3 linked regions of the Drosophila melanogaster genome follow. Changing the gene in region 2 together with the main gene of any one other region gives a genetic interaction. Each region holds a gene or a part of one and is shown on either strand. Other genes may lie near its edges.

Region 1 (9,394 bases), on a different chromosome or scaffold from region 2:
ACTGGTGTTGGTTGGCCGGCTTTCCTTAACAAAACGTAACCATTTTAAGATAGCTTGCTTAGATTCATGTTTTTAGACAAATTCGCAGAGCGGAATCGAACTGCCTGGGCCGTCTGTTTTGCGTGTGTCCCACTTCCTAACAAACGATTTAGATTTAAAATTATATATACTGTGTATTTAAAACAAACGACGAAAGTGTTTTTATGTAGAATCCATGTTTAATTAAATACAAATCGTCCGAAGAGCAGACACTCTAGTGCCTATGTTTGTGCTTGTGCTTGTCGCTGCGATGTCTCGGCGGCGATGGCTCTTCTCTGCGAGAGGAGCGCGAGGAGGTTGGAGAACTGCGTGATCGCGACGATCCGGAGGCAGGAGTTTCGTAGCGGGAGCTGCGAGACGACCGCTCTGTATACCGCTTCGGTGAACTGGACGGACTACGCGACCGATTGCGTTTCGAGGATTTGGATGAGCGCGAGGTTTCGGGTGAATAGTCACGTCGTTTGGATTCGCCACCAGAGAACGGCGAGTGGGATCGTTTGCGGGAACTGCTTCTGAACAGCGCTGGACTCTCACTCACCTTGGAGCTCTTGGATTTTATGTGCATGTAGCTGAGCGGGGAGTCTACAGTTGCCTCAGATCGCGAGTCCTGTTCGTTCGCAAAGAATTCAGTTGTTACATCCGACTTACTGTATGTTACAAATCTTACCTGTTTAAGTAATCGCTTCCGGAATTGTTCCACTTGTTCGGGGACACTCCAACCTGGTTCCAGGCGGCGCTTTCCGGACTCCAGTTCGTCCTGGTACTGAATTGCTTTCGACTCAATGTCTCTTAACTTCTGACGCATCTCGTCGGTGTACTTTTGCGGATTGTCTTCTCCACTGTCGTCGTCCGAGCTAAAGAACTTCGGTGGATCTGGCGGATCGAGAGTGTCCCATTTGCTGGTGGTAATCGCCTGCGCTTCTACTTGCTGGGGATCAACTGTCTCCCACTTTGAGGGTATGAAGCCAGGCAACTTAGCCGTAGATTTGGTTTCTTTTTCCAACGGTACACCGTCGAGATCATCATCCACTGGAATTAAGGATTATTTACTTAGTAGTAAGAAGGTTTAAATCACTTTCTTATGCTTACATGGTATGCCATCGATTTCATCGAGGTATTCATCTTTCTTAGGTGTGTCACGCTTTGGAGTACCAGCATCTGCATCAGGTATGGCTCGCTTCAAGGCGCTCTTAAGCAAAGCAGCTCCATCTAGTGGCACTCCGTCTAGATCCTCGTCGTCCTTTTCCTCTCCGGAAAGGGGCGCACCGTCGATATCTTCGTCCAGAGCCTCATCAAATCGCGTTTCCTCGGCTTGAGGTGAGTTATTGACTGGCTTGACGTACTAAACACAAGATTCCATTAGACTACATGCACAATTTGAAATGAATTTCATTAACTAACAGGTTTGCCCAAGAATTTGGCCGTCAGCTGGGCCATAAAATCCTTGGGATAAATGGTCCATTCCTCCCATGTGCGGATAACATTGCAGACTCTGGATTTAAAGCCCTCAGCTTTCAATCTACTCTCGATGTTCAAGTAGTAGTTATGCAGGTTATCAAAGATGTCCAACAATTGTTTTTCCACACTAAATAATAGGGGATATTTCAATGTGTATGCTTTGATAAACATATATACATACGATTTACGGAAGAACGAAGCATTCGCAACTTTAACAGTGCAGTTGTGCAGTATATCTGAGATCAGATAAAGTCGAGCAATCTTCTTTGAAGCCAATGTATTGATATTTGACAGAGACTCGGCGATGCACTCGCAGATTTCATCAGCCGCATCTGCGTGCTCAATGCAGAAGATCATGGCATCTCCAATGCGGGCGCGTTCAGGAGTTAAGTGCCTAATCAAATCCTCGAGTCGGTTGCGTTGCCTATTTCAGTATACATTTACAGTACAGTAAACATTTATGTTTCGAGGATTATCTATGCTAAACGTACGCATTGGACAAGGCTCCTTTGTGCACCACAGGAGCATCGGGATCAACAACCAGCTCATCTGGCATGCCTTGAGTGTAGAAGTTGGCAATCGGGGGCTTCCAAACCGGTCCGTTTTTAAACATACGGAATTCCTCCTCCCGCCATTCATTGGGCGTATCGCCCTGTAGCAAAGAGAACAGCTTCCATCGGTAGTAGATGTGGGCAGGACTCTCGTTGTCGAAGAGGAACGCAAAGAGCGGATTCTCCATTTCCCGAATCATGATCAAAGCCTCAAACATCGGTCCCTCGCGTATTACAAACTCGATCATCCGATGGATAACATTAAGAACAGCCCTGGAAAAAAAGAAAAGCACAGTAACGTGAGTTCTTGTTAAGTGAATGTCCTTGGTGCAATTCATACTTCTCTGTGGGTATATGGACTTTAACGACGCATTTGGCAAGTATCTACAAAATTGAACATTTTCATTTTTATTTCTTTAGACGCTAGCAGGTGATTATTCACTTACCCGCTCCATATTCTCTTTGTCCTCTTGGTTGAACTCCTTGTAGTTTTTCTTGGGCAGCACATCAGCTTCACTGGGTGGAGGTTGGGCATTGAAGGGCAATCCTGAAGGAGGCGGAGGCAGGGTCATCTCAAGCAATGCTTGCGGTGTAAAAATGGGCGTATTCATTATGGGCACAGTCTTTCCTGAAATATTAAGTAAGATGTATGAGGAATAAGAACTTCAATATAAGATCTATAGATTACCCCATCCTAGACGCATCTCGTAGCCCATGATGTAGCGCCCGTTCAGTGTCTTTAGGGCCCTTTCCGCATCCTTGCGGCTCATGTAGGCCACAAAGCCGCAATTGCGTCCCCTTTGCTTCTCCTCTTCGGAGCGGGGCCACATGATCTTGATACTGGCCAAGGGACCGTATCGCCCAAAGATTTCCATAAGCTGCTGCTCGGATATCTTGGGGTTCAGGTTGCCCAGGTACAGGTTTGTGGTATTTGGATCGCCCGTGTCAAACGAACCAGACTCCTTTGAGCTGCTTGAGTTCTGGGAGGTGGTGGAGACACTGCTGCTGGGCACAGGAGCAGCTGATGCAGCCGGTTGCTGTGCTGGTGCGGAATGGCTTGAGGCCATGTGCTTGTACTTGTGGCGCTCCTCACGCTCCTCTTGAATCCTGTGGGCATGAAACAATTAGTATGGAATACACACATGCACAACCAAGTGGGCCTACTGTCTCAATTCCTCCTTGAACAGCTCCAAGTTGCTCTTTTTCTTCTCCTGGTTTTTCTTCTTCAATGGACCCGAGTCCTTTTTGAGATCCGAGGCCAGGGTCTTGGCGTAATCCTCGACCTTGTCCGAGGAGCTCTTTTCCATCAGCTTGGAGACCGGCTTGTATAGCTTGCCCTTCTCCGACTTGTCCTCCCGCCGGGATCCTGCATCATAGGTGCCGGCTTTGACCCAAACTTTCGAGGAGGGGGTGGGTGCATCTTGGAAAGTCTCTACGAACTCTTTGAAGGCCTAAAAATCGTATTGGATTATAATGCGTGGAGGAGGGATTTGCTAGAGGCGCCTACATGTGCCGCAGCAGCTGCATCCTCCTTTTTTTTCTGGTCCTCGAGCTCTTTTTTGGACAATTGTCGTTTGGAGAAGGTGCCCACCGTGAAGGCCTCCAACTTCTTTTCGCTTATCCGCTGAAAACAAGACCGAAAAATGTTAGGCTCGTTTTTCCGGCTACACAGGACACCTTTACTTTTAAAGTGGCGGATGCGGCAGCCGAATCCTTGCTTTTATTCCCTTGTTTACTCATCTTTTCCACACAATATGCACATTATCAGCAAATACGAAAATAGGAAAACCAACAATTTGCCAGTGTGACCGACGTCGTACAACCAGTGCACAGAATGAACAGCGAACAAATCACGATGCAGCCGATAGTTGCGATGGGAGTTATCGACAGAGCTATGTAAATGACTACTTTTTATTATAGTTTTATCAAATAAATGCGAAATGGATATCTGCCGCCTCTGTTTACGCGGAGTGAGCGGCGCCCAGATGTGTCTACAGATCTTCGATGTGGACTCGGGCGAGAGCAAGGTGGCGGAGGTGCTGCGCCAACATTTCTGGTTCGAGGTAAGCTGCTGCCCTCCACCCACTTTTGTGCCTGGGAATCTTTTTTTACCACCATCTCGTCTCCGGAACGCGTACAGGTACTGCCCAACGACGAGATATCCAAGGTTATTTGCAACGTCTGCTGGACGCAGGTGTCCGAGTTCCATCAGTTCTACGTGTCCATACAGGAGGCCCAGGTGATATACGCCACCACCTCCAAGTTCAAGCAGGATCCGGAGATGGTGAACACCTCCTGGCCGGAGGAGGTGCTCATGCCGGCCGACGTCCTTGCCGTCGACAACGATGTCGGTGCGCAGATAAATGTGAATCCCCTGGACGAGTTAGACCTTAGCCAACCCATGTCCCCGGAAGACAGCAAGGTGGGCATCAAAACAGAGCGACAGTCACCCGACATGGAACTCCTCTTTGAGGATGCCAACAATGAACAGGATGAGGACTACGAGGACGACGAGGATGATGACACCGACGACCTGATCGTGACCCGGAGTGGACGCAAACGTAAACGGGACGTGGCCAAGCCGGCTAAAACGAAAAGAGGAACGGTGTCGGTGGGCAGAAAGGGGAAGGAGAAGATGGTGGTCAAGCGGGGACCGCCCAAGAGGATATTCAAGATGGAACGCCTGCCGCCGTTTTGCAAAGAGGACGAGGAACTGATCAAGCGCTACATAGTCATGGGCTGCGAGCTGTGCATATTCTTGGCCGAGGACTTCGACGGCATCCGCGAGCACTTCAAGGACAAGCATCCGGACGAGCGGCCCTACATCAAGTGCTGCGGACGCAAGCTCAACAAGCGCTGCCTCATCCAGGAGCATGCGAGGAGGCATGAGAATCCCGAGTACATCAAGTGGGTCTCTCTTACCCAAACCAATTCGAAGCGATTTGATAATTAGCTTTCCTTTCCGACAGATGCAAGGACTGCGGAAAGGTGTTCGCCAATTCCAGCGTATTGCGTGCCCACTGGCTGGTCCACCATGTTCCAGACGAGGAGTGCGACTTCCAGTGCGAGGACTGCGGCAAACGCTTCTCGCGACGCAACCTGCTCGAACTGCACAAGGGCTCCCATGTGCCCGTAAATGAGCGCAAGTTCATCTGCCCGCAGTGCCCCAAACACAATGCGTGAGCCTCGCCAGCTAAACGGCAGTGTTTCCAATGCTTATCGTTCTCCTTTCACACCACAGTTTTGCCACGGAGTACCACATGCAGGTCCATATCAGCATGCAGCACCGCAAGGCGGCCAATATCTGCCATGTGTGCGGCAAGAAGATCAAGGACAAGGCTGTCTTCGAAAAGCACGTTCGCCTGCACTTCGAGGAGAGCGGACCACGGATCAAGTGCCCGCGTCCTGACTGCGAGAGCTGGCTGAAGGACGAGGACAATCTTAAGCAGCATTTGAGGCGCCACAACGACGAGGGCAAGCTGTTTATCTGCTCAGAGTGTGGCAAGAGCTGCAAGAACTCCCGCGCGCTGATTGGTCATAAGCGCTACTCCCACTCGAATGTGATCTACACCTGCGAGCAGTGTGGCAAAACCTTCAAGAAGGACATCAGCCTTAAGGTTGGATAATACATATTACCCTTATTTATTTATGTGTTGTATTAAAGCGATTGATGTTTGCAGGAGCATATGGCGCAGCACACTGGCGAGCCACTCTACAAGTGTCCCTTCTGTCCCCGCACCTTCAACTCCAACGCCAACATGCACTCCCACAAGAAGAAAATGCATCCGGTGGAGTGGGACATCTGGCGAAAGACGAAGACCGGTAGCTCACAGAAGGTCCTGCCCAGCGCCCAAGTGGCGCAAATGTTCCGGGACGATGCCGATGTCGCAGCTATTGCCAATGACTATTCGGGTTAGGCCCGGAAATGCTTAAGGAAATCGATTTGCGGAAACCATTGCTTAGTTTTTGATTGACCTTTGTTTGAAAACAAAATATATGTATAATAGGAATTATTTGAAAGTACGAGCGGTTTGTTGTCATATTGGTGGGATTTTTGGCTATTTACATTTTAATTAAGTTTTTTGAATTTAAATGTTTCATTTAGCTACATTCAGAAATATTGTTTTTGAATTTAAAAAATTTACAGTGTGAATGTCTTGAATTTTTCAATTGGAAAAAAAAGGTATGATGGTTGAAGTATCCGCTTTGTTTATTACAGTAGACTGGTCACACTGCCAGCTGCTAAAATAATAGAAAACAGTCTGCGTGGACAAACATTTAATTAAAATGAATGTAAGCACTTTATTAACGAAATCTTTGGGAATATTTCGCTCATCAGCATTTTATTTGAGCAGGAGTCCGAGATCCCCATCGACATACACACGCTGAAGCTGCAGGACTGGCTGATCAGCCGCAGAATTGTGCCCAAGAATGTGCAGCAGGAGCTTAGGGAGATCCACAGGAAGATTAGCAACGCCCTGCAGGACATGCCCTCCAATGAGCAGCTGATCAAGCTGTTGGCCCGGACAAGTAGGTGCCCAGTGCCCAGAATGCCATCCCACTAATGTGTCCCACTTGCAGATATCAACTACTACCATGTGAAGGAGATCATTGAGATCCTCAAGCAGACGGAGAAGGACACCAAGAGCGTGTTCGGCACCTACGGCAGCCAGCGCATGAAGGACTGGCAAGAGATTAGCCGCCTGTACGAAAAGAATGCCACCTACCTGGCCGAAACGGCTCAGATTTTCGTGCGCAATGTGAACTACGAGATTCCCGGAGTGCGAAAGCAGATGGCCAGGCTGGAGCAGCAGGCGGACGAGACCCAGAAGCGAGCGCACGATCTGAACAAGCCCGAGAGCCAAATCCTGGCCGACCACTCGGCTTTGCTGGAGCAACTGGGCGTCAAGGGCGACAATCTGCATGCCGAGTTCGTCCAGGTTCTATCTGGTCTACCGGAACTATACGATAAGTCGCTGGTGGGCATTGCCAATATTCAGCCGGGCATCGACCTGTATGCGGAGGTCAGCGGCAACAAGCAAGTGCTGCCTATCCTGAACCACCTGGTGGAGTTTGGCAACACCACCGTGTACCAGTACATCCACAAGGAAGCACCCTTGGCCGTCGAGGAGCCGCCCATTCGGCTAAATCTCAGCGAGGGCAACGCCAGCAAGGATGACAATGCTGTGGCCGAGATTGACTTCGGAACGGATGACAACGGCGGAACTTCGTCGACCGTTTCGGCTGAGATTATCGACTACGGGGACTTCGGCAGCGGGGATTTGCCGGAAAGCGACGGCGGCAACATCGACTGGGGCATTGAGAGTGCACCCACCGATGCGGTGGAAATCAATTTTGACATTCCCGTCGAGGAGTACGGCATCGTGGTGGAGGGCACCGGCATGGATGGCGGCACTGCCAAGGGTAAGTTCTTTTATTATACTCGATTTTATGATGGTTAATGGTTTGTTGTTCCAGGCGATCAGGCCTACACTTTGCTGGACTCACCCAACTATCGCGATCGCTTCCTGGACGAAATCTACGAACTGGAATCCTTTCTACGCATGCGTATCTACGAGCTCAAGCAGCTTGAATCCTCCAGCGACATCATGTTCTCGCTGATGGACAACATTGCCACCCACGACGGTGAGAGCATCTGGAAGATACTCGTGTCCGTGGAGAAAATAATCCAGCAGACATCCGACAAGCAGACGCAGCACCTCTTCCAGCTGAAGCACTCCCCAAAGTATGCCAATATGCTGGCCACCAAGCTGCAGCAAATGACAAAGGCCGTGGAGAAGCTGCGCGCCACGCGAGAGGCGCTCAAGCAGTTGACCATCGAGCTGCGGGAGCAGCGGCAGGACCTGAATCCCGTGCTGGAGGAGCTGATTGCTCAGACTCGCACGCTGCAGTCTCACATCGAGAAGGATATATCCAAGCGGTACAAGAACCGGGTGGTTAACTTGATGGGGGGTGTTAACTAATGTAACTTTTTTATGGCTGTTTGTTAAAAATAAACTGGTAAATGGACAAAGATGGTTTTGTAAATTTTTTAAAAGAAGTTTATTTTTATTTTGCTATTTTTATTAAATATACAAATTTTATTTATATTGTGTTCTTTCTTTTAATTGCCATTTTGCTTCTCTCTTTTTTTTTTTTTGTATCCAGAATACAAACCTAATTTTAGTGAAGTTTGTTGATTTCATTTTTCGTTCTCTTTTCTTTTCTTTTCTTACTTTTTTTTTTGTTGCTTTTGTTTTGTTCATAAAAGTATGCTTACACAGTTAACGTTTTAAACTTTCACTTAAATGTAAAATTCTTATGTTGCTGAATTTTAATAATGTGTAAAACAAGAACAACGCTGTGATTAACTTAAATGTTTTGGGGGCCTGTGTCTTGAATATAAGGAAATTCATCGAGATATATTGATTAAACCGGATGTACACATATGTATGTAGATGTACATCTAGAATGGTAGAATGGGGGAGCTTCAATTAAATCGGAAATGCTATAGAGTAGCTATACAAGGTTTGGGTGTAAAAAGCCACAAAATGTCGGGGTATACATTGGGATATCAACTAGACTTAGGCACTAATCTAACAAAAGTGTGGCTGGCGGTAATCAGCAGAAAGGCTTCGTAAGTATAATCAATTCGTTAACTAAATAGAAAATAACAAGCACTATCGAAAATACAATTAATTATACGGGGAAAGAGGCCTCATGATATGGTTACAACTTTGTGTGGTCAAAGCGTCGTGTACTTTTGTTTTCTATCTATCTTTCGTCTCCGTTTGTGATGCGATTTGTTTGCGATTAAAATCAATCATCTCATCTACAACTTGGGCGTCTCTCTCTCGAGCTTTACATAGATATCGTATGTACGGATATACATAATGTTGGATTGTTTTGATTATACATAAACGCACGCGTATTTGTATTTGTGGTTGCTGCTGCGTTGCGTTCATAACTCGTATGGTAAATGTTAAATAAGCATAAGATTTGTTCGAAAGTTGCTTGTGGTTGTGGTCTGTCTGCCATTATTGTATAGTTGCTTAGCCTAATATATATGCTTCATATAATTTATATATGTATATTTATTATTTATACGGTTTAATTTAATTCTTGCTCTTGCCTCGCCTCGCTTAGGTGCTACTATGTATATGTCTGAATTTATTTATGTATACATGCTTCTCTTTATCTGATGTACTTTGTAAATGATTACTTTTTTTTATACACGTATCATAGCGCCGGTCGGATTAGATATTCTGAGCTCATTCCGCTCTAATCTTTATGTTATTGCTCTTAATTTCAAAAAAATAATGTGTGGACTGCCCTATCTACACAAC
Region 2 (8,059 bases):
GTAGGCATCGCGAGCGATATTTATGTGCAGTGCCTCCAGAGCGGATTGAGCTAATCCCTCCCAGTCGCTGGTGGTCACGCCCAGGCAGGCGACCTGGTAGGCTTCGCTGAAATAAAATATAACATCTTTTATTAGGAGATTCCAAGCAGAATTGGAATATGTCTTACTCAAACAATCCAGCTTCGATGAACTGCCACATGGTGGAACCGAGAGCCAAAGGCGTATTGTGCATAATATTTCCGCGCAGGCAGAAGGCAGTGGCTCCGCAAAGCCCCACCACCACGCCATGCATGTTCTGTGGTGCCCTCGGCGGCAGATTCCCCACGCGAACGCTTAATCCGCCTGTTGTGTGGGTATAGCAGAGCATCGAATCCAGGTGCGTGTTCCAAGTGACGCTGTTTACACCCGTATCCTGGTACAAAATTGTATCGTTGATTACGTCCCGCACAACCAAGCGACCCACATCGTCCACAACTGCGATCTTGCTGCGCTTCGAATTGATATCCAGGCAGCGAACCGCTGACACCGCAGTGGTGATGAGCAGTGGTAGTGAGTTGTTGAGAAAGATTCGGAACACTTGGCCGTTCTTCAAGCCCACCATTAGTCCTTCTCTTCCCACGGGGCCACCGGTGACTTTGATGTATCTTATGAACGAGTCCATGATCCACTCGCGCTGCAGGACACCCATGAAATCCAGACATTGGAGACGCTTCTCCTGGCACAGGACAATGTGACGGCCACAAACAACCAGCAAGCTGCAGTCGAACTTTTGCTGGATCTTCTCGCGCACTTTATAGTGCATGGGTTGATCCTCTCCAGAGCTCAGCTCATAGAGAACCACACGTTCCGGCAACTGAACCGCCAGTCGATTCCGATAAATGGCTATTTTCTGAACTAAATCTCGACACTTGATGCGCACCTTTTGGCCAGAGATCAGGTGCTGAATGATCACGTCGCACATGTTTTCCCGGAAGGCATAGCGCTCGCGGTAGAGGGCATGCACGGTACTAGACGCAATGTTGAAGCAGGCCAGGGTTCCATCTTGACACCCAATGGTGTAGGATTGACCATTGGGATGTAGGGCAACTGTCCAGATCCAGGTGTCAAAGGTATCGCCCAACGTACCCAGCCGAATGCCCTCCCTGGTGAAGAAGTGTAGACCTCCAGTGCAGCCGCCCACCAGGCAGAACTCCCCATTGGGAAAGTACTGCAGGCACAAGGGATCAAAGCCCAGGGTTCGCTCCTTGCCAATCATCTGGCCGCTCAGAGTGTGAAAGGATAGCGTTTGGCTCCAGTCCACCACACCGATGGTGTCCACACTGCCAGGACCGCTGGCCGGACAACATTGGACACTGAAGACGTTGCTGTTGGGCCCACCAGGCCGATCGATTCTCCCCTTCTCCTCGCCCAACTTGTTCCTAATGGATATGGTGCCATTGGCCAGGCCCAGGATCAGGTACTGTCCATCATTGGTCCACGAGCAGCCATTGACACGCGCGGATATCTTGTACTTTTGCACCGCCTTCTGATCAGCCGACCAAAAGGCAAAATCCGACAAGGAGCACGAGGCCAGGTGGTGCGAAACAGGATTGAAGCTCATGCACTGTATGGAGTCACCGTGCCTATGAATGTAAATATATTTTTATATTTATATAAAAAACTAGAATTTATTGCAAGTGTGCTGAGAACTCACGAATACTTGAGCAGTCCCTCAAGCTGAGGTGACCACACGATGACCATTTTATCGGAGGCTCCGCTGGCGAACCGCTTGCCATCCCGCGAGTAGGCCACACAATTGACCGTATCCTTGTGCGCCTTCAAGGTGTTCAGCAAGGAGCCATCGTTTGGATCGTAGATGAGCAACCGATCCCCCGCAGCCACCACCAATTGGCTGCCATCGGGTGCGTAGCACACATTGTGGACACTGGAAAATTGGGTTTTGCAAATACCGTTATGGCGTTATAGCAAGCAACAGGTTGTTGTTTTCCACGAATGAGAAAGCTTTACCTGATCTCATTGTCTTTGCTATTGGGAAACTCTATGCGTTCCAGCCACTTGAGAACACCCCTCATTGTTGCAGAAGTCGAATTGGCTAATCCTGCATAGTTGGTAGAAATTCCTAAATGCAGGTGCGTTGTTTACACACAGATTCCATGGCAACCAACCACAACAAAAGTTGGCGTCTTGGCTGGAGATGGCAGTTTGGCGGGTTTTTCCGTTAGTTTTGGCTTTTAAAACTAGGACTTGACTAATAAACTAGTACTAGTAGTAAAAACAATTTATTTAAAACATAGCCTCATTATCGTTTACCTAATTGTCTAAGTGTACAATATTTAAAAAAAGTTTCTATTACTATCTGAAATGACCGTTATAATTTTTTTTTTCGTGCAAAGTAGTTGGCAACGCGGTAATTGACAGTATGACCAAAGCCAGTGTGCATAAATGCCTAGTTTCGTCAAAACAAAATAAAATAGAATTGTTTTTTATATCAGAACTATTGTTTGTTTTTAAAGGATTTTAGCTACATATACGCTTGAAAATGAACAATTTGGACAGTTCATTGCAGGCGCACAATAAATTGGAGAAGGTATGTCTAGTTGTCATGCTCAAAACCTCCATACTTACCCATTTTCCTCATAGGAAGCCACCAATTTAGCTCTGCTGAAAGATCGAGTGGATAAATACCATGATCTGTCCACGCAAATGTCCAGTATTCTAACAATCTTCGAGAAGCGCCTGGGAAACCTGGAGCAGACCATATTGCCCGTCTACCAGGAGACGGAGCAGCTCCAGAAACGGCAGCAGAGTATGAAAATAAACTCAATGGGATTTCAAAAAAAAAAAACTAATGTGTCACCGCCTCTTTTTTTTTTTAGATCTGGAAGCTACTCTCAATTGTCTGGAAAGCGTCCTGTCCCACTACGATGTCTCCCAAGAGGTCTGCCAGTTGATTCATCAAGGCCCGGTGGAGGGAAACATCTCGGTGTTCCTCGACGCACTAGCCAAACTGCGCGATGCCAACGATTACTTCCGGCACAACAATTCCCAGAGCGTGGAGCTGGAGAATGTCACCAGTTTGTTTAACACCGGCTGCGAAGGCCTGAGTCAGCACTATAGTATGCTCCTCAAGAAGCACAGTGCTCCGCTGAAGCCGGTGGAGTTGCTGGATCTTATCTACATAGAGGACGATTCCAGCGATGAATACACCTCATTCCGGCAGCTTTCGCAAACGACGCGCGAGGAGCTGTACACCATATCGCACTGGTTGGAGCAAAATTTAAGGGAGTACACAAACATCTACGCGACGGAACGGGGCGAAGTGGTTCTCCGATCGCTGCAGCTGCTCAAGGATCACCAAAAGAGCAACAGTTGGGGTCACGAGGCTCTGGTGAGTAAACAGTTCTTTCATATTCTAACTAGTATTAATACATATATATTATGTGGAGAAAAATAGTACGTAGTAGAATATGAATAGCGATGTGTACGATGATGAGCATATGTATGCTTTTCCCATCTCTGATCGTTTCGGTTAACGGTGTCTGTTCGAAAAAGCTTGTGCATGTAAGCATTACATGTCCAATTCGATGACCGCCATTTGCCAGCTTGAATTCGCAAAGAACGCATCATTTTCTGTGTCACAGTATCTAAAAAAAATGGAGAATTCTCGCACGCCCACGAACAAGACCAAAATTACGCTTAATCGCACGCCAACGCTAAAGGAGCGCAGATGGAACACCCTGAAGGTGAACACCTCCAACGTGCGATGCTCTACTCCGATCTTTGGCAACTTCCGTTCGCCCAATCTCTCGCCCATCGAGAATATGGGCACGAAGGGGAAGAGTCCAGTGTCGCCCATGCGGTTCGCTACCTTCAAGAAAGTGCCAACGAAGGTGCATCCCAAGCAGCAGCAGCAGCAGCAGCATCAGCACTGCCATCGCACTCAGCTTAAGCCCCCGCCATTCGTGCTGCCCAAGCCGCAGGAGGAGATCATCGAGCCGGAGCGAGAAATAAAGAGCTGCAGCAGCCCGGATACCTGTTCGGATGACTCGAATATGGAGACCTCACTGGCCTTGGAGTCGCGTCGTCGTTCCATCAAAGCATCGAACCACTCGTACGTGGTTAACCATGCCGCCAATGTGGAACAGATTCTCATGCACATGGGCCTGGAGAACTATGTGACCAATTTCGAAGAGGCTCACATCGATCTGGTGGAACTGGCATCCTTGGAGCGTGCTGATCTTGTTAAAATCGGCCTAAATACCGATGAGGATTGCAACCGTATCATGGATGTGCTCCACACTCTTTAAGTGAATCGCTGGCATGTCCATCTTTTATCATACACTAAGATTTTAAAATGTTTTATGTGAAGAGAAACTTTGTGATTTTAATATATGTGGATAATTAAGTAGGTATTCTAGAATTATTGTAAAAGACCTGGTGTCTTAAAGCTCGTCGTTTTTAGCCTTAAATAATAAACTCTAGTACACTTTAAGAATCTATGTAATTCCTAAAATGTTGCTCCGAAGCTCATTTACAAATTTAAATTTATTTCGTAAGCTAGCAAATTGCATAATACTTTTTGTCAAAAAAAAAAAAAAAAATTGGGGTATAAACGCTTTTGTAAAACACACATTTTTAAAATTAATAAACTCATAAGAATCAAATGCATATTAAAAGGTTACAAAAATAAGAGTTTTTAATTTGCTACCATTTTAGTACCTTAATTATTCCGAAGAAACATTAATGCAATGGCAATTAACAATTCAAATTAATGTTTTTAAAATGTTTTCTTGCAGAGACCGCGACACAGTGGACGCCAAACGGAGCCAAAAAAGACAACCTCCGCTCGTCTTCAGCAAATGTGAGAAATATTACTTAATTTCCAAGTTTTCGTATATGATATATTTAATTTATTCTGCATAGATTCGAAAAGAAGGCGAACAAGTTATATTTACGCGCGACGCAGACGATTGAGCAGTCCACAGGGTTCTCCATTAAGAAGGCATCATCGCACAGCGACCACCTGACCTCCGAGGATTTGATGGATGGCGATCAGGAACTGGACAAGTATCTGGTCATGTTGCTGGGACTGCAGCGGTTACTTAACTGGGAGCGAGCCATCATGATCGACATTATTCCCCAGTCGAAACACAACGAGGTATTCGCCACCTTGGCCTATAATGCCATCGATCTGGTGGTTAAGGACGCTGAGGCCATTACGCAACGCATCCTGCGCTGCATTTCCCGCAAGGAGTGGACCTCGGCGTTGGGAATATTCTCCGCCCTAAAGCGGGTTATACTGCTGCAGCCGGATATTGACCGCACATACGATCCTGCGCAAAGGGAACAGTTGAAAAAAGTACTAAAAAAGTTGCAGCACACCGGTGCCAAGGCATTGGAGCATTTCCTGGACGTAGTCAAGGGCGAATCGAGCACCAATATTGTGGGCCAAAGCAATGTTCCAAAGGATGCCACCGTGCACGAGCTGACCTCCAATACGATCTGGTTTATTGAGCACTTGTACGATCATTTCGATGTTATTGGTTCCATTTTGGCACAGGATGTCCTGTACTCCACGCAATTGGACACCATTTTGATGAAGAAGGCGCTGCCAGTCGAGGAACGCAATAAGGCGCTCTTGGCGATTTACATAAGTGAGTGGCAACAAGATCAATTGTGCGAACATTTTTAAACCACTATCTATATTTTGCAGAGAAAGCTTTGGCCGAACTGAATCTTTCCATAATGAACAAGTGCGAGCAGTACAATGACCAGGCCACCAAGCACCTCTTCCGACTAAATAACATTCACTATATCCTCAAGTCGCTGCAACGCTCCAATCTTATTGATTTGGTCACCTTGGCTGAGCCTGAGTGCGAACATAGCTACATGGAGATGATACGTGAACTGAAGGCTAGCTATCAAAAGACCTGGTCCAAGATGCTGGTCGGCATCTATTCCTTGGATGAACTGCCCAAACCAGTGGCCGGCAAGGTCAAGGATAAGGATCGCAGTGTGCTCAAAGAGAGATTTTCTGTAGGTTTTTATTTTTAAAATAAGCTAAACTTTCTTGATTTAAAAAAAAACATCCTCTATAATTTCCAGAACTTCAATAAGGACTTTGAGGAGGCATGCAAAATCCAGCGGGGCATCTCCATACCCGATGTGATCCTGCGAGAAGGCATCAAACGTGATAATGTGGAGCACATACTGCCCATCTACAATAGATTCTACGAAATGTAAGCGTATATAGGGTTTATCAGCTTATACCTAACCATCTTGTATCATTTTTAGTTACTCTGGAGTGCATTTTAGTAAGAATCCCGACAAATACGTCAAGTACAGACAGCACGAGATCAACGCTATGCTGAGCAAGCTCTTTGATGATTCGGCTTAGATGTTAAATGCAGGCCAGGCTTTAAGTGCATTCCTTGTAAGTTCGTTGGGGGGCTTTAATTCAAACTCAATAAATATCGTTTTAAAAAAAGTACAATACAAGACTATAGCCTACAAATATTAAATGCCAAGTGAAATGAAGACGCCACGCATACATACGTCCTAGTAAAGGAAGTTAGTGGATGGTGCTTCGGGGCGGCCACAGGCGCCGTAGTAGTTGACGTTCACCGTCTGGTTCGCCCTGCAGTTTTCGATCTCCAGGAAGCAGTCGTTCAGATACGTTTTATTGTCGCTGCCGCAAACAGGCTCGAATTCCCTGGGACAGATGCGGGCACATCCTTTAAGCTGAAAGGCGGCAAGGCAGCGCTTCAGTGGCACCACGAAAACATGCTTGCCACAATTCTCCTTGCGCATGTGGCACTCGGACTTGTACAAGTTGTTGTCCGATCCGCAGACGAAACTTGGCGGCTGGGCATCACAATCCGATTCGCAGTCGGCGGTTAAAGCGCAATTCTTTAGCGAAACGGGCACCACACGCAGATCGCAAGTGCGCCGCTTGAACTCGCACATGGAGGCGAAGGTGTTGCCATCCGAGCCGCACACTGGCTGCTGTTCCAGATCCGCCCGAGTACAGGCATCCCCGCAATCCTTGGTGGGCGAATTGAGATCCGTGCAGGGACCAATGTGGGCCAGATTCACGCCGCGTCTGAAAAGAAGTTGAAGAGCTAGATCCATGTCCTATGGATGATCCTATCATGGATACTCACAGGCAGGTGGCGTGGGCCAGTTCGCACTCATTGTTATAAGTCTTGGCGTCCGTGCCGCAGAGCTTGTCATTTCGCTTCGAGCTGAAGATGGAACCGAACAAGCTATTGAAGTCCTTGCAAGGAGGCAGCTGTTTGCAGCGGGTCAGTCGATTCTTGCACTTGTCCATGCTCACTTTTTGAATGGACTTGCGCTGTGGACTGAAAGATAAAATTTTAGTCTGGTTATATTCCATTTTTATCTCATCCAAACTCACCCGCAATTGAGCATTTTGAGTTCACACAGCGAAGAGTATATGTTGCCATCACTGCCGCACACGTACTGCGACGAGGAATCCGTATCCGATTTGGGACACTCCGTGGGACAGGCATCGGAGGCTCCGTGCCTCTCCTGCGACATGCAGTAGGATAAGGGAACCTCAAAGACGTGCTTGCCGCAATTGGAAGAGCGCATCTTGCACGGACTGGCATACAGTCTGCCATCTGATCCGCAAGTGGGCCTCGCCACACGCCAGCAGGATTCCCTGCACATTCGTGTGGACTGACAGTGCTTCCGGCTGGTTTTCACCACACCCTGTCCACACGTCTTCAGCTTCATCTCGCACGTGGAGTTGTATACATTGCCATCCGATGAGCAAACTGGTCCATCCTTCGGCGCACTGTTGCAGTCAACCGGACAGGACTCACGCACGGCACTCGTGTTGCTGCAGGGACCCACATGCGATAGCTTCACTGCAGCCAATCCCACGCGACACGATTGCACCCTCAGCATGCAGCGATTCAGATAGGTCCTTCCGTCTGTACCACACACTGGATCCTTCTCCGTGCTGCAGCGGTGCTTGCAGTCCGAACCCTTCGACCTCTCGCAGCCATCCCGCACGTCCTTGATCAGCGACACT
Region 3 (12,667 bases), on a different chromosome or scaffold from region 2:
TTCTTGCTAAAGAACCCGACTAATTCGGAATTTCAAGCTGAAAAAATAAATATTTAAAACATAGTTCAACTTTAGTTTTAAAATTCTTAAGTCCGTTGAAAGTCGTCGCTCTTTCTGAATCCGTTCTGGTAAATAGGAGTTAACCCTAAAAAAGGATGCTTTTTAGTTTTTTATCATTCATAACTACATTATAACATTTAACATTTTTTAAGATTGCAATATACAATTTTATACCCGTTACTCGTAAAGTGAAAGGGTATACTAGATTCGTTGACGAGTGTGCAACAGATAGAAGGCAGTGTTTACGAACATATAGATTATATAAATTCTTGATCAGGATCAATAGCCGAGTCGATCTGGTCATGTCCGTCTGTCCGTAGATCTTAGGAACTATAAAAACTAGAAGGTTGAGATTCAGCACACAGATTCTGGAAACATAGACGCATGTCGACACGCCCCCTCTAACGCCCAAAAACCGCACAAAACTGCCACTTTTGTGCTATTTTTCCACATTTATTAGTCTTGTAAATTTCTATAGATTTTCCAAAAAAAAACTTTTTGCTACGCCCGCTCTAACGCCATAACCCTTCAAACCGGTCACGCCCACACTTTTAAGCAATATTTAAATATCCCACAAAAATTATGAACTTTCGCGTTTGCCTTTACACTAGCTGAGTAATGGGTATGTGATAGTCAGGAAATTCGACAATATCATTCCCTTTTGTATTTTGGCTTATCATGTAATACAGTTTTCTTAAACCATAATATTAACAAACTACTTTCAAGAAATACATATGTATGTTTATGGCTGAACAAAGTACATACATATATCATTTTTGGACCAGTTCGCTGAGTACATGTATTTATGTATTTATCCGTATATCTACATACATATATGGATTTGAAATCCATATATAAACTGTAATGTAAAATTACGATTTTGTTTCCGTACTAGGCAACAACTTTCGTTCGTTAAGAAGCTATATTAATCGTCACTACTGTTTGTTTATTCAATAATTTACCTTTTTCGTTGTCCCTCATTCTGTTGACGCAGTTTATTACTTGAATACTTAGAAAATGTCCAACGGAAGAAAAAATCGCCTCTTGCTACATAAGTTTTTAAAAAAAATAGTTAAGCCGTCAGCAAAACACTCACTTCCCACCGCGTCGATAGCTAAAATGTGTCTGAGCGTATCATTTAAAGCTCTGCCCACCATATAGCGTATATGACTGCAATTAGACATCAAGATTGGGTCTTTGGCTAATAAGTTTTATCAAAGTACCGATTACCCAAAGCGATAGCTGGATGCTACCTGCCGCATTCCAAACTTGATACTGTCTACCGACTACTTTTATAAGCAAACATTCATGATATAAACATTCAATCACACGCACTCCCTTTTCGCCAGTCATCTAGTAAGCGGTGGGACTTTTTGTGTAAAAACTCACAATCGTTCATTAGCCAAAATTCTGCTAGACCAGATCGCTTAGTTTCAAAAAGAGAAAGCGGTTTATGTGGACTCAATTCAAGAGATACTCTGTTATATGAGAATATACATATGTTATTCATTTAAGCAAATAGATAAGTCTTCAACAGACAATTACAAATGAAAACCTGCTAACTAATAAATCCTGTAAAATGTTATCGAAATGACTATTCAGTAAATAATATTCAAATATAATCAATGAAAGTCTAGACCTATGACATCATTGCGCACAAGTATAATTAACCAAGCAATTTACACCAATTACAAAAATGTATAGTCATGAGAAAATTATTTTCTGTAATTATTACATGTATGTATATTTCAATTTATTAATTTGCCACGGAGGTGCATTCAGATAGCCTGCTGAGTTCATCATCTTCGATGTGATGTCCTTGCAAGTCCAACTAAAACAACAAGGACAATGATTTAATGTTCAAGTCAATAAGCTTAAAGACGCTGTTTTATTATGCCGTAACACATCTACATAGGAATTTTTGCTGGTGAATGTTTTGCTGGTCATTACATTTGAAACTACCAAAACATTCTATATTCCGTCGCTAATTCTTTGTGTTCATTATCGCTCTTGTTTACATTTAAATGTTAGAGATAGTGGTGTTCAGTGTTGTTAGATGTCGATAGTTATCGATGTTGTAAGCTGTGACATTGGGAATATTCCGTCTGCACTAGCACTGCCAAAGAAAAATTATGTTAATCGATAGCAGTAGTTTGAATTTTTAAAGTGAACTAGAATTTGAGAACTAGTCCGAATGTTAAAGGATTGTTGGTCCAAATCCATTGTAACTTGCTTGACACACTAGCGCTGCTTAATCTCAACCTTCTAGTTCCTCAGATCTCGACGTTCATACGGACAGACAAGGCCAGATCGATTCGATTGATCCTGATCAGGAATATTTATTTATTATGATAGATAGAATAGTTTACAAAACTAGACTAACTTAAATAGTATAGCATTGGCTACAGGACCTACAGCTATATTGGTTTACAATGCAATTATATCTTAATCTAGTTAATATTAAATTTGCTAAATAGTTGCTGTGCTTGTTAAGTACATTTTTCCGTTTTATTTTTAGATTTTGTGGTATAATTTAATTTTTTAATTTATATACTTTATATGGTCCAAAACGTTTCCGTCTATCTGTTACATACGTTTCAACGAGTCTAGTATATAAACATTGAAAATAAACACTTTAATTTTTTCATTATAAATCATTTTTTATTATTAGCAATCACATCATTTTTTTTAACAAATACCGAGATTTGAAAGATCGAGTATCTGCGCATATAGACCACTTTTAATAAAGAGAATAACATCGTTGCCAATTTATGCATTTTTGCACTTGTGTGACATATTAAATGATTATATTATTTAAATTGAATAGTGTCGCTATCAATACATATGTATACACATACATAATTAATGGAAAAAAATGTAAGATATGTCGCCAAAAATAAAATTTGACATGTCCTTGCATAATAAGATGAATAAGATTTTGTGTGGAATACACAAACGACTGCCAAACGAGTCCGCGATTCATAAGCACCTACCGCAATCATTGCAATTAAAAGAAATGATCTCGTTTCCCTAAGATTGATAAACCAAGTTTCATGGCATCTAGTGAGAAGATATTCTGCTGCCGTCATTAATACATATGTATATGGCAGCGTCTCCCAGCTGAAAGATGAGGGGCAACGAATGGAGGATTCAAAAATCGTTGTTTCTTCGCCGAATAAAAGGGTATTTGAGATTCGTTGAAAAGTATGCAACAGTCAGAATTACGCGTTTCCAACGTAACTAAATTTATATTCTTGATCAAGGTAAACAGTCGAGTCGATATAACCATGACCCATGATGCACATTCTAGAATAGCCAGTGTTTTATTAGTTAAGTGCCACGGTTTCAAAACAGTCACACACACACTTTTAAAAAACCTTTTCTTTTTATTTTAAATTTTAAAACAGAATAGTTGCGTATTACTTATAGCAACCATTAACCAGTTAACAAGAACGTGTTAAGGTATGCAATGTGAATATGTTTATATTACTATGTTTGCACAAGAAGACAGCTATTTCTGCAATATCGTGTTAAACTTGCTGATTGCCTCGGCAACATATTTTTCCTTTTCGGCCAACGCACATTTAAGCTGCGTACGCAGTTGCTGCAGATTAGGCATGGTGCGACAATCTCTAATGTTAAGCAGAGTGCGGAAGATGTTTTCCCACATTGTGCGCTGAAAGTAGCGTGGCACGTTTGTTTTCGGCATCCAAATCGTGCTCGGAGACCGCTGCACTACTTCCATATAGCGGCCGAAAAGCAGCACATGCATAACGCTTACGAGACCATATAAATCCAATTGGTAAGTCCATGGGCGTCCCGTTCTCATCTCAATGCACTTGAATAGGTCATCATGATGAACATAGTTGAATGTCTGATTGTCCGGAAACAGCTTCATGTCAATAGACACACCGAAATCAATAAGCTGCAGGCTGACTTCGTTGGGATCCGCACATATCCTGAAACAGAAAAAACCTGTGATATTATTGGTGTTGACGAAGAAGCTTTCTGGTTATTACGGTTTCATAAGTAGAAAGTTATCCGGCTTGATGTCGGCGTGGATTATACCCATGGCGTGCAGGTGATCCACAATATCGAGCATTTGGCAACTCAGATGCATTACCACATACTCGTCCATATTCCTGTTAGTGACACTCTTAACCTTGTTGCATACACCGATCAGAGAACCATAGTCTGAAAACTCTGAGATGTATACACTGGAATTATTTCCTACCAGTGCATAGTCAATATGTGCATAGGATGGAATCTGTAAAAGAATTTGCATTCGGTTAATTCGTGTCATGTGACAAGTATTAATAATTATCCCTCTATATGATATGAATAGGTAATATTCTAGGATAATAAACTTGGAATAAAAACTATTTGAAAAATCGGATTTAATGTCCATATATTATTAGTTATGCCTTACCATTTGCTCACTAGTTAGCCGGCTGTGAATCTCTAGACAAATGTAGAACTCCCAGTAGTTAGTGGGCCGTTCCTGCTTGAGCGCGACCTTCTTGCCAGATTTCAGATGCTTTCCTACATAAACCGAGCCATAAGCCCCCTTTCCTATCATTTTAGACACCTCAAACTTTTCGTTGTGCACTTCCAGGTGGGTGTTAGGATGTAGGCGCTTAACGTGTCCAACCAGTTGACAATGGGGCAGCTTTTCGATGTACATAGAAAAGTCAATTGATTCGAGTAGCGAGCTGATCAGTTCTACATTGAAAGGGTTTTTATTAGCGTCTGCCAGCGTTTCGTTCAAAACAGTTTGATCTCCGTTTGAGGTGGGGTGAACAAAGTTTTCCCGCGGAGGAGTTTCTAAATCAGACTGCGACCAGGAACGGTGCGATTGCTTCGGCGTCAGTGGAGTTGTCTTATAGTAGATGCTTAGTTCCGACGCCTCTGCTACCTTTGCGTTAGGGATCAGCAGTGTGGAATTTTTTATCATACTGATATTTGTTGCAAACATTTCAGTAGCTGCGTTAAGCTCGAAAAACTCGTCAGGTTGTTTTGAAATACCGACATTTTCATTCACAGGGGCTTTCCTTGACGATTCTGACATGGAATCGTTGGAAAATTTGATCTTATTCGATGTGCTTGAAATATTCGTTTTGACAACGGAAGCCGGCATCTGTGAAGGACAGCTGCCTATTTCTGTGCAATCTTTCATAAACGAGGCAATCATATGGGAGTGCCCAATATTTTCCTGTTGAGTCCCTGGCTCCTTAATTGCCACCTGTTGCGTTTCGGGCAGCGTGCAGTCTAAGTCAAAGCTGGAGACCATTAAAGCTACTGGTTTTGACTTAGTGAGCTTTGGCTGCGTGTCGTCCAGAAAAATATCAAACTTCTGTATCGCCCCTGATTTTGCTACAGCTTCAGGCTGCGTTTCGGGCACAAAGGAAAGGTCGCACATAAAGGAATCCTGCAGATTGCTGATGCTGGGCGCAGCCTCCAGTTTGTTGCCAGTCACTGCGAAGGATCTCCGATCGCCCTGTGTCGATTTAAAAAGCTGTGAAGTTGGATCGAAATTGCGCTTCGGAGAGCCAAAAATATTTGTTTTCGGCGGTGTCTTTCCAAACAATCCACACAAATCGCTTTCATCCTCCAAAGTGGGAAGTTGCGGTGCGGAAAAACAATTTTCAGCTCCCAGTGAGCCATGATCCATAGAATTCTCCGGCAGTGCGATCGGCATTTGTGGGAGTGTTTCAGTTTTATCTTCCTGAAAGCAAGCAAGAGGTCTTGGGATAGTCTCTGTCTTATCCTCTTGGAAGCGCAACGACTTAAGCATAGGCACGCTAGGCGCATTGGGCTCCCATAACTCACGGCGCAAAAAGTTGTCACCACCCGGTTTTTCCGGCTCGGAAAGGACTGCTGATACACCAGCACTTATCACGCGCTGCAGACGCATTTGTCCAGGAGTGTTCTCTTCAATCTTGCTGCCTAGTTTAGAAACAGCATTGGATCCGGGTGAAGACGTGGAGGTAATAGTGGATTTAGTGGTGGTACCGCTCGTCGCCAAGCTTTGTGTGCCGTGCTCAGAGGTTTCCAATATGGTAGATAGTTGCTTTCGCAAAGTTGGAGAACGAGTCTCCACTGGAGATTCGACGGAATGAGCAGCCTCCTCTGGTAGCGGTAGTTCTTTGAGCACGGTTCCAAATTGACGTGACGGAGCCTGTTTCTGTGTTCCCTTAGGAGTGCTTACTGCCTGCGACTTTATGAACATGTTGAACATTTGCGTGGAGCAGGTCTCATCTCCGTCATAAAACGGCCTTGTTTTTGGAGTTGGCTGCGGCTCTTCAGAGTCTTCATAGATCTCTATTTTCGGAACAGGAACGGCCGGTACAGCAAAATTGTCACGTGGAGAACCGGAATCCTCAAATATTTTAATTTTTGGCTCATCTATTTGATCGCACGGCGATTCAGGTATCTTAGGTGCCACCTGAGAAGGTATATCTTTTACAATCAAAGTGGCTTCATCCTCTTTCTTTTCATCCTCCTCCTGCACAGACGAAACTCTGCGTGGCATGATGGATTTTCTGAAGGAAGAGGGAAAGAAGCTCTTGCGGCGTGGCATCTTGTTTCCGGGCAAGCAAACGGTTTCTTCCATGTCAAAGTCACCATGAACTGTCACATTTCGTTTTTCCATCCATTTAGCTGCCAACAACTCCTCTGGCTGGTACTCCTTTTGCTCAACTTCGTTGTAAATTTTGTCAAAAACTACCTGAAGGCCCGGTACCAGTGGGGGTTTCCAAAACTTGTCTAGCTCATCGAGATCTTGTGGCTTAGAATATCTGGCGAAATTCGGATAGCAGCGAATTCCTCTGATCACCCGTCCAGTGCCCCACCAATCATCATTGCGATGGATAAATGGATGCTGTGGGTTGCGATGCTTCAAAAAGGAATAGGCTCGATACTCTTCGGGCGAGAACTCGATGTTGGGGCGGGGGTAGAGGAGACACTTGTTATAGCAAGGCAGTCCACTTGCGTTTGGCTCGTCCTCAATAGTAACTGGCGTCACCCACGGTTCCTGAGGCCTGTTCTTGGCCACAAAGTTTGTCGGAAATCTAAATGGTTGTTCTAGACGACGCTCGTAGTTTGTAATAGGTGGCATTGCTTGTTCGTCAACGTGTATATCAAAGCCCAGATCCGGCGAGGCGTTACTGCCGAAAATTTTTCCATGTTTGTGGCGTTTAGCATTTGCCTTATTCCAGGCCACCGGTTCTTTTATATTCTCCTGACTGCAAGCCGAGTCGATAATGGATCGCAGGCTTGACTTCACCTCCGTCTCAGAATTAGAGATCGGAATATTTCCCTCAGAATTTTCGTCATTAAACACCTCAACGTTCCGACCTACATTGCGCCTACTGGTGGTGGTTGAAGGCTCGACCTGCAGAATGACAATGTATATTTTTAAAGAAATTTTATTCGATTTAAACCTTTTTTATTACTACTGTATATTGATATAAAAGCTTAGGTGGATTTAAAATCCCTTAGAAAAAATCGAGCTTAACGGCGGGATCTCCAAAAAGTTGGACAGGTTCACCCTAAGCCGTTTAATAAAATACAAATACAAATTAAGGTAAGGTGCACCTGATAGTCAAGGAAACCGACTCGTTCTCTATCGTTCTCTGTTGTTTCTGAATTCTAGAGAAGATAGTCATTAAACATGCATCAAACATAAGTTATAAAAGCAAAATTATACTTGAAACCGATTTCTCTAGCCAACCAAGTTCTTTGTAAACATGAAATAAAAAATCACCCACCTGAACCACGCCTGGGAGGCCGCTTTTAACTGCTGCTCCGGTACGGATGCTGCCCACGGTGATGCTGTTAGAGATCTGCTGCCGGCGACCATGAAGTGATTGCAGTGCTAGCCGTCGCTCGTTAAGTTCCTGGTTTACTGCGTTGGCCTCTTCACCAGTGCTGTAGAGCATGCGCTGGCCCACCGTATAGCCAAAGTGGTGGTGGGCCTCCTTCAGATCCTCTAAGGGCTCTGCGCGGCACTCTAGACCTAAGCGAAAGATCTCGTCGGCCTTGCGCATGTTACCGCTCAGGTCGTAGCTGTAGGCCCAAGCAATGTAGAAATCTGCCAGCATTGTTCCGATCCCGTTGTTGTACATCTGCTGATAAAACTCGATCTTGTCCTTCTGTTTCTCCATCTAAAAAGTGACGAAGTAAAATCGGTGGTTGAGTGATCGTTTAAAATATCATCGGCTACTCACGAATTTAATGAAAAGCTTTATAAGCCGCTTGTCCTGACGGTAGCGCTCGTCGTCTTCAAATTTGGTGAGGCACTGGTGTAGGACAGTCTGCAGACCGGAGCCACTGCCCCCCGCCGGATAGCTCTGCTCGATCCAGCAGATGAACGTGTACCAGGCACCGAGAGGATCCGCGCCTTTGTAGGTGCGCACCTCCTCCTCCATTTGCTTGCGTTGTGCCAGCAGTTCCTGGCCGTGGGTGGAGTCCTGGCTAAGAGAAGCCTGCAGAAGGCTCACATTGCGACCGCTGGCCAGCGGCTGAATGTTCTCTTTCGCATTGTCAAAGTCCATATCGTTCTCCTCAAGCAAATGACCTGAAACTTTTGGTTGTCTTGTATCGGTTAAACAAAAACTACGCGCCGAAGCAAATGCTAGAGATGAATGATACTACGCTCTTTCGATATTTTTAATTGTGTCGTATCGATACTTCGATTGAAAAACTGTTCTCACTGAAGCCGAAATACATACGATAAAAATTGAATTGCTTAGCAACACAACGTCATCACTGACCACCACTTTTAATTGGTAACGAAGCTCACCATCTTGACCAGTAAAAAAGAAGCGTAAGAACAGCTTACTCCAGTTACTATTACATTTCTGGTGCTCCTCAAATCTTTGTGATCTAATATTTATTTGATCAACTTTCATTATTGCTTCGAAAATTATGATATTTTAAAATCACCGCCATATCTGTACAATAATTAATTTTTCTTTTCCCTTCGAGTTTTGATAAGGCACGAAATATGTTTTGCATATATATGGCTTTTTATTGTATATATTGTTGTCATGACATATGTTTTAAAAAGGTCTAATTGCGAAATCAGTAATCGTCTAAAATGCTAGCAGAGATAAAAAATAATGATTACACAGGTTCACCAAAAGCCTTTATAGAATGAATGTTTTTGATCTCATTTTGTGACAATAAACGATTTCCACGCCTTCACAAACGAAATTCCAGCAATATATGTATGTATGCAACAGGTTAGGGAATGTCAGCGGAACTATCATATTTGGTTACTATTTACATACGTTAACTCGTGAATCTATTCGGATCGCACATGCGTATTTAATGCCAAAAAACCAAAAGATTCAATGCGTCTTATTTGTATAATCCCTTCAGCATATCGAAATGCGAATAGTAATGTTTATTATTCTTTTTGTTTTTGAAAAAACCAATACATTTTTTTTATGTATCCGTTAAAAGTTACCCCAGCGGCCGCCTTGGTCGCCATTTCTAAAGCCGCCGCCTGATCCTCTATTGCTTTCAAATGAGTCTCCAAATCCACCTCTCTTGTTCCCATATCCTCCGCCATTGTTTCCATATCCTCCACCATTATTTCTATAACCTCCGCCATTATTTCCATATCCACCATTATTTCCATAACCTCCTGCATTATTTCCATATCCTCCTCCAATATTTCCATATCCTCCTCCATTATTTCCATATCCTCCTCCATTATTTCCATATCCTCCTCCAAAAGTTCTGCCGTTTCCACGGCGACCAAAGCTGCTGTTAGTAAAGCGTCCTGTCTCAAAGCGACCTCGTTTGGGCGGTCCTCCGCCGTCACTGAACTGACGTGATTGGTGCGGCAGAATTCCTGATTCACGCTGCAGTCCGAAGTCTCCGGCGCTCTTAACGCAAAGGTCTTTGACCACTTTGACCAGCTGTGCATAGGGCTCCTCAAGGCGAAGTATGTCGGAAGGGTTGTCGCACGCCACCGTGATAAGATCCTCCAGGGCCGGCTTAAGGGCACCAATCTTGGCCGCAAGTTCCGGCTCTATGTCGAAGTTAAGCCAGTTGTCAACGCGCACTATATTGTTGGCGGCCAAGTCAATCTTGCGCGATCCAAACAATATCACCTGCAAGGGCGAGACCATAGATAGTTGCTTGCAGGAAACAGCTCGCGTGCGAATCTTCTCGCCGAAAACGAAGAACGGATACGGAAATGTGACGGCCAAGTTGCTGCAATTCACCGAGGTTTTGTGCAGTAACGCTGCTTTAGACTCTGTAGTCAGCACTTTGCGCTTCTCCTTGTGCACGCAAATGTTGGGGTAGAGACCCAAGCACAGCAGCGCCAGGGACACATCCAGCACGGGGTCATCCCCATCAATCCTTTCGTCTACCTCGTGCGATATCATACACTCTTCTGGGAATCCTGCCTGCTGAAGGAGATCCAGTAACTGCTGCTTGGCATCCCAGATAACGTTCATAGTACTCATTTGCAGTCCTTTCCAGTCACAGAACCGAGCTTCCATATGCTCACCGCGTTGTTTCTCGCGCCGCCACATTTGTGAAGCTACAATCATTGCCACGTGGTCGGAACATTTGGTACCACTCAACGCTTTCTGATGATTTGCCAGGCGACGTTGACCTATATCAAGACTAAACACCTCTGAGAAGGTGCTAGAGTACGAAGCCATAATGGCCATTAGATCGGCGCAGCCAAATACTGCGCCGAGGACCATCATCTTTCCAAGTCTTGGTTCAATTGGGAGGCGTGCCAGCAGGCGCCCCAATGGAGTAAGTTCATCGTTAGCGTCAAGGCAGCGCATCTCGCGAAGCAACACCTCAGCTTCGATTACTGCGTCTACCGGAGGTGGCTCCAATGCCTTTGACAAAAAGTGGTGAATGGAGCCCAGTCTGAGTAATTTAATGGTCAACGCCATCTCGTGCAACGGTGTGCGGAACATCTCCGGCGTAAGATTGTCCTCTAGCGCTTGGAAGCGGGCACGCGAACAGAGTGTGAAGCAGAAGCCTGGTCGGACACGTCCAGCTCGGCCCTTGCGCTGCTCCAAATTGGTTTTGCTTGCCCAAACGGTGGCGTAGCTGGTTAGGTTGTTATGTGAAGTAAAGAGCTTCATGCGCGCCTTACATATATCAATTACGAAAACAATGTCGTCAATAGTTATAGAAGTCTCTGCAATGTTGGTAGAAAGTATAATCTTGGTTACGCCTTCTGGAACAGGCTCGAAAACCTTGCGTTGCTCGTCTCGTGGAATCTGCGAGTGGCACGGCAAAATTTGGTATTGGGATGTATCACCAAAAATGTTTGTATTTTGCAGAAACTTCATAAGCGCAAAGATCAGGTTCCAACCGGGCAGGAATACTAAGATAGCACCGGGAATATTTTTTGACTTAATATGCATCAATAATGCCTCCAGCAGCTCAAAGCTAACGTCCGATTCGGATAGCATGGCCATAGCATTTCGAGTCTTTTGTGAATACTTGTCCTCGCACACCTTGTTATAGTTGATTTCCGCCTCGTCCTTGTCCTCGGAAAGCAATTGCTCCTCGTCCTCCACTTCCTTGCGCTTTCGGCGCGACTCCGCCGAAGGCACAAAGTCTGTCATCTGAATAATGTCCTCCAAGAAAAATTGCTGCACGGGAAATGCTCTTCCGGGTACTTCCAATACGGGACAGATGCCAAAATATTTGGAAAATTTCGTTGTATCAATAGTGGCCGACATAAGAATAACTGCAATAGAAGAGTTTCTATTAATTATAGTGTTTTCTAAAAGTCATATCATATTAAATTAGGACTAGAAATGTATGACCCGTAATGCATATAAGTTTTAAGTTCTGAATAGTAATTTTGTTGGGCATAAGTAATTTTGGCAAGTCAACTCTACATTAAATATGAAACACAAACAATTGGCAATGCAAATTTTCAATGGAACAAACTGACAAATCGACTATTAAGAACATAACATATACACTCTGGGCGGATCCGGTACAAACAATATAATCATAATCTTCATTAATTAAGCCAGTGAATTAGTGCAAAATAAGTTATTTTCGCGGCTCAAAATCTGCTCAACATTGCTTTTTATACATGTAAATGTATGTATATATACAATACATATATACAAATGTATGTATATATAAATATATAAGTATAATCAACAATTGTCGAAGAGTTTCACCCCAAGAAATTTGAATGCAGGTTATACATACGGATTTATGTTAGAAATATTGCACCTTATTCGAGCTTACCATGCAGGTCCGGATATGTGTCGACCATGTCGCGAAGGATGACCAGCAAAAAGTCGCTGTTCACGTCTCTCTCGTGGATTTCGTCCACAATAATATGCGACACTCCTCGTAAGCCAGCCTCCAGCTTGCGCAGCAACACACCCACGGTGCAAAAGAGGATTGCGCCGTAGGGTCGTGGAAACACAGACTCAAATCGCACCGAGTAGCCTACAGTGTCGCCCAATTGCTCGCACCGCTCGCGAGCTACGCGCTCGGCCACAGAAATGGCTGAAATGCGACGAGGCTGGGTCACATAAATATTAGCGTACCCGCCCTGGCCGGAGCAGATGTAGTCATCAAGAATGTATTG

What was found.
Region 1: of mtrm (region 2) and grau, changing one suppresses a phenotype caused by changing the other (phenotypic suppression), as found in Drosophila melanogaster (one study listed by BioGRID).
Region 3: of mtrm (region 2) and BubR1, changing one enhances a phenotype caused by changing the other (phenotypic enhancement), as found in Drosophila melanogaster (one study listed by BioGRID).

Annotation. Positions count from the first base shown.
Region 1 is NT_033778.4:21,006,440-21,015,833, reverse strand, and holds grau (grauzone), read left to right. Parts: upstream 1-3,912; 5' UTR 3,913-3,988; coding exon 3,989-4,111; intron 4,112-4,188; coding exon 4,189-4,955; intron 4,956-5,017; coding exon 5,018-5,227; intron 5,228-5,289; coding exon 5,290-5,665; intron 5,666-5,728; coding exon 5,729-5,965; 3' UTR 5,966-6,070; downstream 6,071-9,394. Other genes in the region: CG9346 (uncharacterized protein), read right to left, coding at 254-646, 707-1,068, 1,129-1,381, 1,441-1,624, 1,679-1,921, 1,989-2,321, 2,389-2,432, 2,495-2,676 and 4 more; CG30291 (uncharacterized protein), read left to right, coding at 6,336-6,341, 6,404-6,578, 6,630-7,472, 7,527-8,032.
Region 2 is NT_037436.4:8,409,422-8,417,480, forward strand, and holds mtrm (matrimony), read left to right. Parts: upstream 1-3,590; 5' UTR 3,591-3,653; coding exon 3,654-4,307; 3' UTR 4,308-4,682; downstream 4,683-8,059. Other genes in the region: Oseg1 (outer segment 1), read right to left, coding at 1-106, 168-1,622, 1,694-1,924, 2,008-2,072; Exo70 (exocyst 70), read left to right, coding at 2,540-2,587, 2,641-2,806, 2,877-3,388, 4,797-4,861, 4,924-5,654, 5,714-6,036, 6,106-6,239, 6,295-6,397; CG32354 (uncharacterized protein), read right to left, coding at 6,559-7,102, 7,164-7,361, 7,418-8,059. UniProt on the Drosophila melanogaster protein: Polo kinase inhibitor required to maintain G2 arrest in the meiotic cell cycle in females. Holds heterochromatically paired homologs together from the end of pachytene until metaphase I.
Region 3 is NT_033778.4:5,965,669-5,978,335, forward strand, and holds BubR1 (Bub1-related kinase), read right to left. Parts: upstream 8,718-12,667; 5' UTR 8,616-8,717; coding exon 8,289-8,615; intron 8,226-8,288; coding exon 7,830-8,225; intron 7,454-7,829; coding exon 4,490-7,453; intron 4,328-4,489; coding exon 4,080-4,327; intron 4,020-4,079; coding exon 3,572-4,019; 3' UTR 3,431-3,571; downstream 1-3,430. Other genes in the region: CG7881 (uncharacterized protein), read right to left, coding at 1,023-1,041; mle (maleless), read right to left, coding at 9,522-11,800, 12,319-12,667.